Linked DNA regions of Lonchura striata. The protein of the gene in region 2 interacts with the protein of the main gene of each other region in a biochemical or structural test. Links are inferred from orthologs where the notes say so. Each region holds a gene or a part of one and is shown on either strand. Other genes may lie near its edges.

Region 1 (3,743 bases), on a different chromosome or scaffold from region 2:
GTAGGGTGGAGTTGGCGAAGCACTCCCCTCGGGCTCGTACCCCAAATCCAAATCGGAGCGCCTCGGTGTTGCCGTGGACGTCTCATTTCTGACCACATCACTTTTACCAGAGTAGAAACCATGGCTAACTGGCCTTGGGTCTGTGGACACGAGCTCCCCCTCCTCACCAGGAACCGGTGGCCTTGGAGCATCTTCAGTGAAGCTTCCTCCGAGGTCCAAGGGGAAGCCTTTCCCCTGGATATTCATTTTTCTGGTCCTTGCTTGCGTGGGAACAGTGGGAGATGAGCGCTAACCTCAAGTCACCAATATCTGTAGCTCCAAGGTAAACAGGTTTGTTTGGCTGAAACAAATAAGGAAAAAATAAGCGAGTATCACTGGAAATAAACGCTCTAAGACAACAAACTAGAGGTTATGCTCTGCACCTTTAATGTACTAACACCTCTTTTTCAACAGGATCAATGGCTTGGTAACTTCTGAGAGCACAGAACTGAGCTCAAATCAGACAGAGGCTAACAAGCACATTTACAGAACATCCCAAAATTTTATATCCAGAATTCAGCATCACTGATACAACTGATGCTATGCTAAAACACCAGCAGATTTCCCAACAACGGTGGTTTATACATGACCCTGGTATGTGGCAGCCCACATCCAAAAGATCCATACTCAGGTACTACAGGACACATGCCACCTTCTGCACTGCCACCAGCTCTTCTGCACTGCCTACCTGGACAGGACGTATACCAGATCACACTAAGGCAACATGTTTTTATCTGGCTATGGATCTAGGAAATTCTTACCCTTAAACAGGAATTTAAGGCTTGTGAAAATTATTATTAAAAAACATCCAGTTAGTCCTGAAAGCAGGGCTGCACCTTAATCAAACACAGGTGGCTTTCGTAGCTCAAGTGACATACCAGCGCCACATTCCTCACAAATCTCTGCGTTTCAGAAATAAGCCGCGTCGCCTCGTCTAGCTCTAGGGGAATCCAGATGCATCGTTGACCCTAATATTTTGGGCATCTGGACTGCATTCTTGCTTCAGATGGGCATGTTAGTACAGGAGCTCAGTTCTAGCACTGCTTTTTGTAGGCAAGCCGTTGAGAAAAGGTTCATTTACGCTAAGAGAATTGCATGCTACGAGCCTGGGAAAATTTCAGGTCACCAAAGGAAGATGAGAAAACCACCTTGACAAGGAAACCTGATCAAGTACGGTGTTTTTAAAGAAGAGCAATGAGTCAATATGGAGGATGGAAGGCATGGGGAAGGCAGGGAAGGAAGAAAAGGGCAATCCCTGGGTTGCTACTTCTGCTGCTCAACAAATTAACCTCATCGTTTAAAGCAAGTAGCAAAAGCCCTGTGTTAACAGAACAGCCTCAGCCTCTAAGCCCCAAGTACTGCAGAGCACCAGCAGCCTCATAAATTACTCCTTGCACTGGGTTAACTCAATTGCACGTAAAAACACAGCAAGAAAGACACATTTTAGCTCGCCCTCCCTCTCAAAACAAACCCCACAACAACGAACATCTTTGGGACGCTTTACCATTGACCCCCCATTTCCTGATCCTGGCTAAACCAAGAACCGCCGCCGATGCCGTGCCTGTCCTTACAGCCCACCTGTGCATCGTGAAACAACCCAGCGAGCCCAGGAGCGGCCAGCGAGGGTGGCGGGGCCCCGCGAGGAGCGCGGCAGGAGCCAGCGCCGCGCTCACGCCCGGCCCGAGCCCCCGGCACGCAGCCCCTGTCCCGGCACCGCGGGACGAGGCTGGGCTTTGGCACCACGGGGCGGTTCTGGGTGGTTTTCACCCCGCTCCTGGAAAGCGAGAGCGGGACTCGCCCCCCGTGTGCGGTGCAGGTCCTCGGTGACCCCCGGCCGGGTGAAGGGGACGCCCGGGGCAGCGGCACCGCAGCCCCAAAGCCACGCCGGGCATTGTTGCGGCGGGGCGGCGCTGGCTCCTCGCCCCGGCCGGGGCAGCCCCAGGAAGCTCCCGGAGGACACGCGAGGCGCCCGGCCGAGCCGCCCGGCCGGCTCCGGAGGGGACCCGCGGCGGGCGCGGGGCCGGGTGGGCTCCGGGGCGGCCCCGCCGCTGACAGGGCACCGCGCGGGGCCCCCGCCGCCCCCCGGGCAACTTCGCGGGACCCGGCCCGCGCCGCCCCCCCGCCGCCGCCCCCGGCCCCGCTCCCCTCCCGGCCCGCCCGGCCTCCCCCCGCGCCCGGGGCGGCCTAGCCCGGCTCGGCGGCCCCGGCGCGGCCCCGCGCTCCCGCCCGCGGCGGCCTCGGCGCGGCCTCGGCGCAGGGCCTGGGCCGGGGCCGCCTCACTCACCCGCGCGGAGCGGCGGCGGCGGCCCGGGGCGGCGCGGGGCCCGGCCCATGCGGCTCAGCGGCGGCGGCGGCCCGGAGGGGCAGCGGCGGCACAAAGCGGGCGGCCCGGGACGCCCATGGCCGCGGCCGCAGGCGGCTGGCGGCGGCGGGGAGCGAGAGCAGCAGCAGCAGCAGCAGCAGCGAGCCGAGCCCCGCTCCGCTCCGCTCCGCCTGCGCCGCTGCCTCCCAGCCCGGCACGGCGGCTCAGCCGCGCCCCCCGCGCCCCCGCCCGGTACTGCGGGACCGGGACGGAGCGGGGCGGAGCGGGCCCGGCCCGGCCCGGCCCGGGGAGGCGGCGCGGCCGCACGCGGGCCCGGCGCGGCCGCAGGCCCCGCACCCGCTGCGGGGCCGGCCCGGGAAGCGCGGGGGTGCCGGCTGGGGGAGGCACCGAGCCCCGGGAGCCGCAGCACGCTGCCGAGCGCACGGGCTGAGCTCCCCGGACAGCTCCGGCACATGGCCGAGGCTTCGGGCTCGGCTTCCCGCAGAGCCCCGGCTGGGCAGGCGCCTCAGGGGCTGAGAGGCTCCAGGGCTTCGTCCGGCCCTGGATGAGGGCAGCCCGTGAGCATCCCGGGCAGAGACGGCCCAGAGAAACTTGGGAGACCTCCGGGGTCTCGTGGAAGGGCTCTGCCCAGGGAAGGCATCAACCCTCAAACACCACCAGGCTCCACGGTGCTGTCCGCGTTGAACACCATGACACACCCGAGTTTTGTCACTTTTGGACCACGCACCGTGGGCCTGGGGATGTAGGGGCACCGGTGCACCAGCTGCTCTTGCCTCCAACAACAACTAGAGCTGCTTTGGAACCTGCAGTGTGTGTCCTGCTTCTCTGAGCTGGGCAACTGCCGCTGGGGGAAAGCAGGGGCTGGCCAAGAGGTGGCACTGCATGGACTGGAAGGGTCACACCGCCTGGAGACTCCCAAGGCGATGCTGGGTTCTGTGCAGCAGGGTGCACCAGCTCTGAGGCTGCAGTGATGGGGACACTGAAGGGAGAAGAAGTGAATTGCCAGATGCAGAGATCAAATGAGAGTAGCGTGACAGGGAAGTGCAAAAGCGTGTCTTCCCTGGAAAGCAGTGATAGACTCCGAGCCAGGCTGAACATACAAACAAGACACTAGACAGTCCTCTGAAAATCAGAAATAACAAAATAGTTTCCAATAGGGACTGTTTCTCCTTTCTTATGTGATGATGCTGCCACAGTTGACTGCCTCAGTGCATTTAGAGAAAACTTTTGGAAATGTAACATTTCTTTTTCCAGTTTTATGAAGTTCCCAAATATCCACTCTGGCAGTGACACTCCCCATCCCACCCCAGCACAGAGTCTGGCAGGATGATGTGGCTCCTTGCAGTCTCTCATGTGAACGATGCTCGGAGCTGATTTACAC
Region 2 (3,743 bases):
CCTATACACAGCAGACTGCTATGCTCATAAGCAAACAAGTTTTATTTTACCTTTGGCCCACAAAAGAGATCAAATCAACACACTGCATCACTGGCAGGTATACACTGCTTAAGATCAATTGCATTCAAACAACATGCTTGCTTACAGACCTTTCCAAAATGATGATCTCAAGATCTATGTAATAAGAAACGTGCCTAATGCTCTTACATGTCTAATCCACTGGCACCAGACAAGCAGCCATTTGAGATAAAGTAGGTATGGTATCTAAGGGAAGTCTTTAAATCTAGAAAAATGGATATGGGAATTTGTTAGATACAGTAACTTCATTTGCTATTTTCCTCATGCTACAACAAATCACCTTCCACTGCTATTACAGTAACATCTTAATAATACTATCAACTTTCAAAACCTTACCCCCTCAATTAAGTTTTGTCCATTTCTTCTCTAATCAGAGCAGACATTACCCGCTGCAGCTTCAGCACTACAGTTTGTACAGACACTGAAGTTACAACCTGAGATCTCAGAGTTTTAGGGGAAACAGCAAGATCTAACTTTAAGTTTGAATCCAAAAGTAGCAGAGCAGACTCAAGCTTTCCAAAACATTAAGAACTTCATAAGCACACATGCAGTTGGTACCAGAAGTAAGTTCAAGGTTCATCAAAATTAAGTCCATCTCCATACCCCAGAAATTTGCTGCGTTTTAAACTCCACTTGCTTAAGCCCCGTCTCAGCAGTAGAGCTCAGAGATCAAAGAAAGAAAAGGAAACAGCCCAGGACCAAAAGTTCCCTTAGGGGCATTGTCAAATACCTCTTGTACTTTGAAAATGAAAACAAACCCATACAGTCTCAGTGTGTGTTATCTAACTTATAAATTGTACAGCACTATTCAGAGTGCCAGGCAACACTGTGCCATAAAATGTTCATTTTGCTACTGATTTAAACATGACTTAGAGCTACATGCCAGCACTCAAACACTTATCACTCGATACAGACTTGTTAATTATCTTAATTTATGTGTACCAGTGCACCACAAAGCTCAAGCTAGATCTGTGCACTTCACTATGTAAGGTGCAGTTCTGTGACACCCTGGCACACCTCAGAGAGCTCTCAGACTGACCACAGATCTAGCAATTGTACAAGCCCTGACTTAGGAGTAATGATTTAAAAGACTGTCTTCATTTTACTTTTATAATGAATTTTGTGTGCCTCCAGTGAAGAATACACCCTGTAAGAAATATTTTTTTATGAACTGCAGTAATCTGTTACAGTTCCATTTGCCAAAAGGTAATATTTACTTCCAGTTAGTCTACACTGTTGGACCTTACTGCTAAACTGTTTTTATAACATTAGTTCTGATCACAATGACATCTCTTTTCTGCACAAATAAGTATATTTTTTCTTGGACACTAATCTAACTTATACCGTTCAGCTGTTCCACTTGATCCCTTTCCCCAGCCTACTCAGACCACAAGAGATGCAGACATCAACCAGCAACCATGCTGAAATGAGAGAAGTTACAAAGTACAAGGCATCAAGACTGAAGTACTTGTGCATCACAGGACTCTCTGAGCTGTTAGAACGCAGATGAAACCCATACTTCAAGTCAACTCTGTCCTGAATTTCAGTTTCCTGCTTCCTAAGTCCACTGCACAACTTTGCAGCAGCCCATGGATATCAAACACCGAGATCACTGTCCATACTCTTAGGTCTTAGAGTCTCTTTACGCTCCCAGGATCTCCTCTCCCACTGGTTTCACCCAAAGGAAGGGGATTTAACAACCAGCTCCCGACAGCCTGTAGCGAAACGCCGCTGGGGAAGAGCGTGTGCTCACACTCTTCCAGCTTAGGCTTGCCCACTCCCGAGTCACCGAGGCGCTGCCCGAAGCTATTCCAGGAGAGCCCTGCCTGTCCCGCTCGCTGTCACTGCCCCGGCCGGGCACGGGAGGCTCCGGTACCCACCGGCGGCGAAGTGGAGCGGCGTGGACTTGCGCCCCGCCATGTCCTTGGCGTTCACGTTGCCCGTGTCCACCAGGCGCTTCACGCGCGTCACGTCCCCATTCCTGCAGGCCTCCAGCAGCTCGCGGAACGCCCCGCTCGCCGCGCCCGGCCCCGCCGCTTCGGGACTCTCCGCCGCCGGGCTCGACGCCGCCGACGACGACGCGGACGAGGACGAGGAAGACGAGGAAGAGCCGCTGGAGCTGCTGCCCGAGCCCGGCGGCGGGACAGGCGCGGCGGCGCCCGACCCCTCCGCACACTCCGCGGCCGGGGGCCGGTCCGCGTCGGGGGGCGCCTCGCCCTCGGGGCCGGCCAGGCTGGGGCGCTGCGCGGCCGGTGCCAGGCTGGGGCTGCGCGGCGGCGAGGCGGCGGTGGGCGGCGGTGCGGCCGGGCCGGGCGGCGGGTGGTGGTGGTGATGGTGGTGCTGGGAGCGACGCGGCGGCACCGCCGCCATCTTCGCGCCGCTCCGCCCCTCCCGGCCCCGTCACTGCGGCAACGGCGCCGCCCCGCCCGCGCTTCCGCCCGTCCGCCAACCCCGAGCGCCGCGCACGGACGTGACGCCCGCGCGGGGCCCGCGGGGCGCGGCCGCACCGCCCCGGCACCGCCCCGGCACCGCCCCGGCACCGCCCCGGCGCCGCCCCGGCGCCGCCCCGGCGCCGCCCCGGCACCGCCCCGGCGCCGCCCCGGCACCGCCCCGGCACCGCCCCGGCACCGCCCCGGCACCGCCCCGGCACCGCCCCGCGCGGGGCGCGCCTGCCCCCTGCCGGCCGCGCGGGAGGGACGGGCGGAGCCCGGGGCGGGGCCGAGTCCGGGTGGGGCCGGCGCTGCCCGGGAGCCGCTGGGCCGGGAGAGGGGCGGGACGGCAACTCGTCAGGCGTGGCCTCGGAGGGGCGGGCGAGGGACGGCGTTCACCCGCGGAGCCCGCTGTAGGGGCGAGGCGCCCTTCTTCCGCCTGCACGGCGCGATCCGGCTGCGACACCGGAGTCTGAACAGCTGCTTCTGCACAGCCGCCGCTCGTGTCAAAACTACAGAAGGGCTTTGCAAGCTAATTGCAACACCCCATGGTCAGATCCAGGCTTTGTGAAGTACTTAAGAAGCATCGGTATGAACTTGTTCAGCTCACCGCCGGCTTTCCACAATTCATGTTTCACCATCCAGGTGCTTTTGTGGCATCAGTGATGTTATGTATAGTAAATATAATTCGCGCCATTCCTTGTATGAAATATGTAATATTGGATGCTTGTTAAATCATGCCCGTTGTATTAGTTCCTCCCCCCCTTCTCCAAATAAAAGAAAGGACTGATTGCTAAAACCTTGGCCTCAGGCAGAATTTTCCCTATAAAAACCGCCTATGCCAGGATGGAGGTGTGTGGGCATAGGAGAAAACCTCTGCTGAGGCTGACTCCTTGTTGCACACCCAGGGTCGATCCCGGGCTCGGCTCTGTCCTTTCCGTGTGGCTGACTAGATAGAATCTGACCGCAAATAAAATTATTTTTATTTTTAATCTGGCTGAATAAATTCTCATTTATAACAAGTGACAAACAAATCACATTCCTTTACTGGTCACGCCAGAGGTGGGTGGGTTACCCGGCCCCCATGGGTAGCCAGCGCTCACCTCCCTTCCCCTGCAGGCGATCCAGCCGGCAGCGTGGCTTCGTAGAATCACAGAATCGTGAATGTTAAGAGCTTGGAATGGACCTTAAAGATCATCTAGTCCCAACATCCCCTGCCATAGGCAGGGAACACCT

The links. The genes of interacting proteins can lie anywhere in the genome.
Region 1: the proteins of TNKS (region 2) and AXIN1 form a complex in vitro, tested with the Homo sapiens proteins (2 studies listed by BioGRID). The link is inferred for Lonchura striata from reciprocal best matches to the Homo sapiens genes TNKS and AXIN1.

The regions. Positions count from the first base shown.
Region 1 is NC_134618.1:4,334,980-4,338,722, forward strand, and holds the start of AXIN1 (axin-1), read right to left. Parts: upstream 2,391-3,743; 5' UTR 2,324-2,390; intron 341-2,323; 5' UTR 247-340; coding exon 1-246. UniProt on the Homo sapiens protein: Component of the beta-catenin destruction complex required for regulating CTNNB1 levels through phosphorylation and ubiquitination, and modulating Wnt-signaling.
Region 2 is NC_134606.1:43,899,027-43,902,769, reverse strand, and holds the start of TNKS (poly [ADP-ribose] polymerase tankyrase-1), read right to left. Parts: upstream 2,458-3,743; 5' UTR 2,449-2,457; coding exon 1,959-2,448; intron 1-1,958.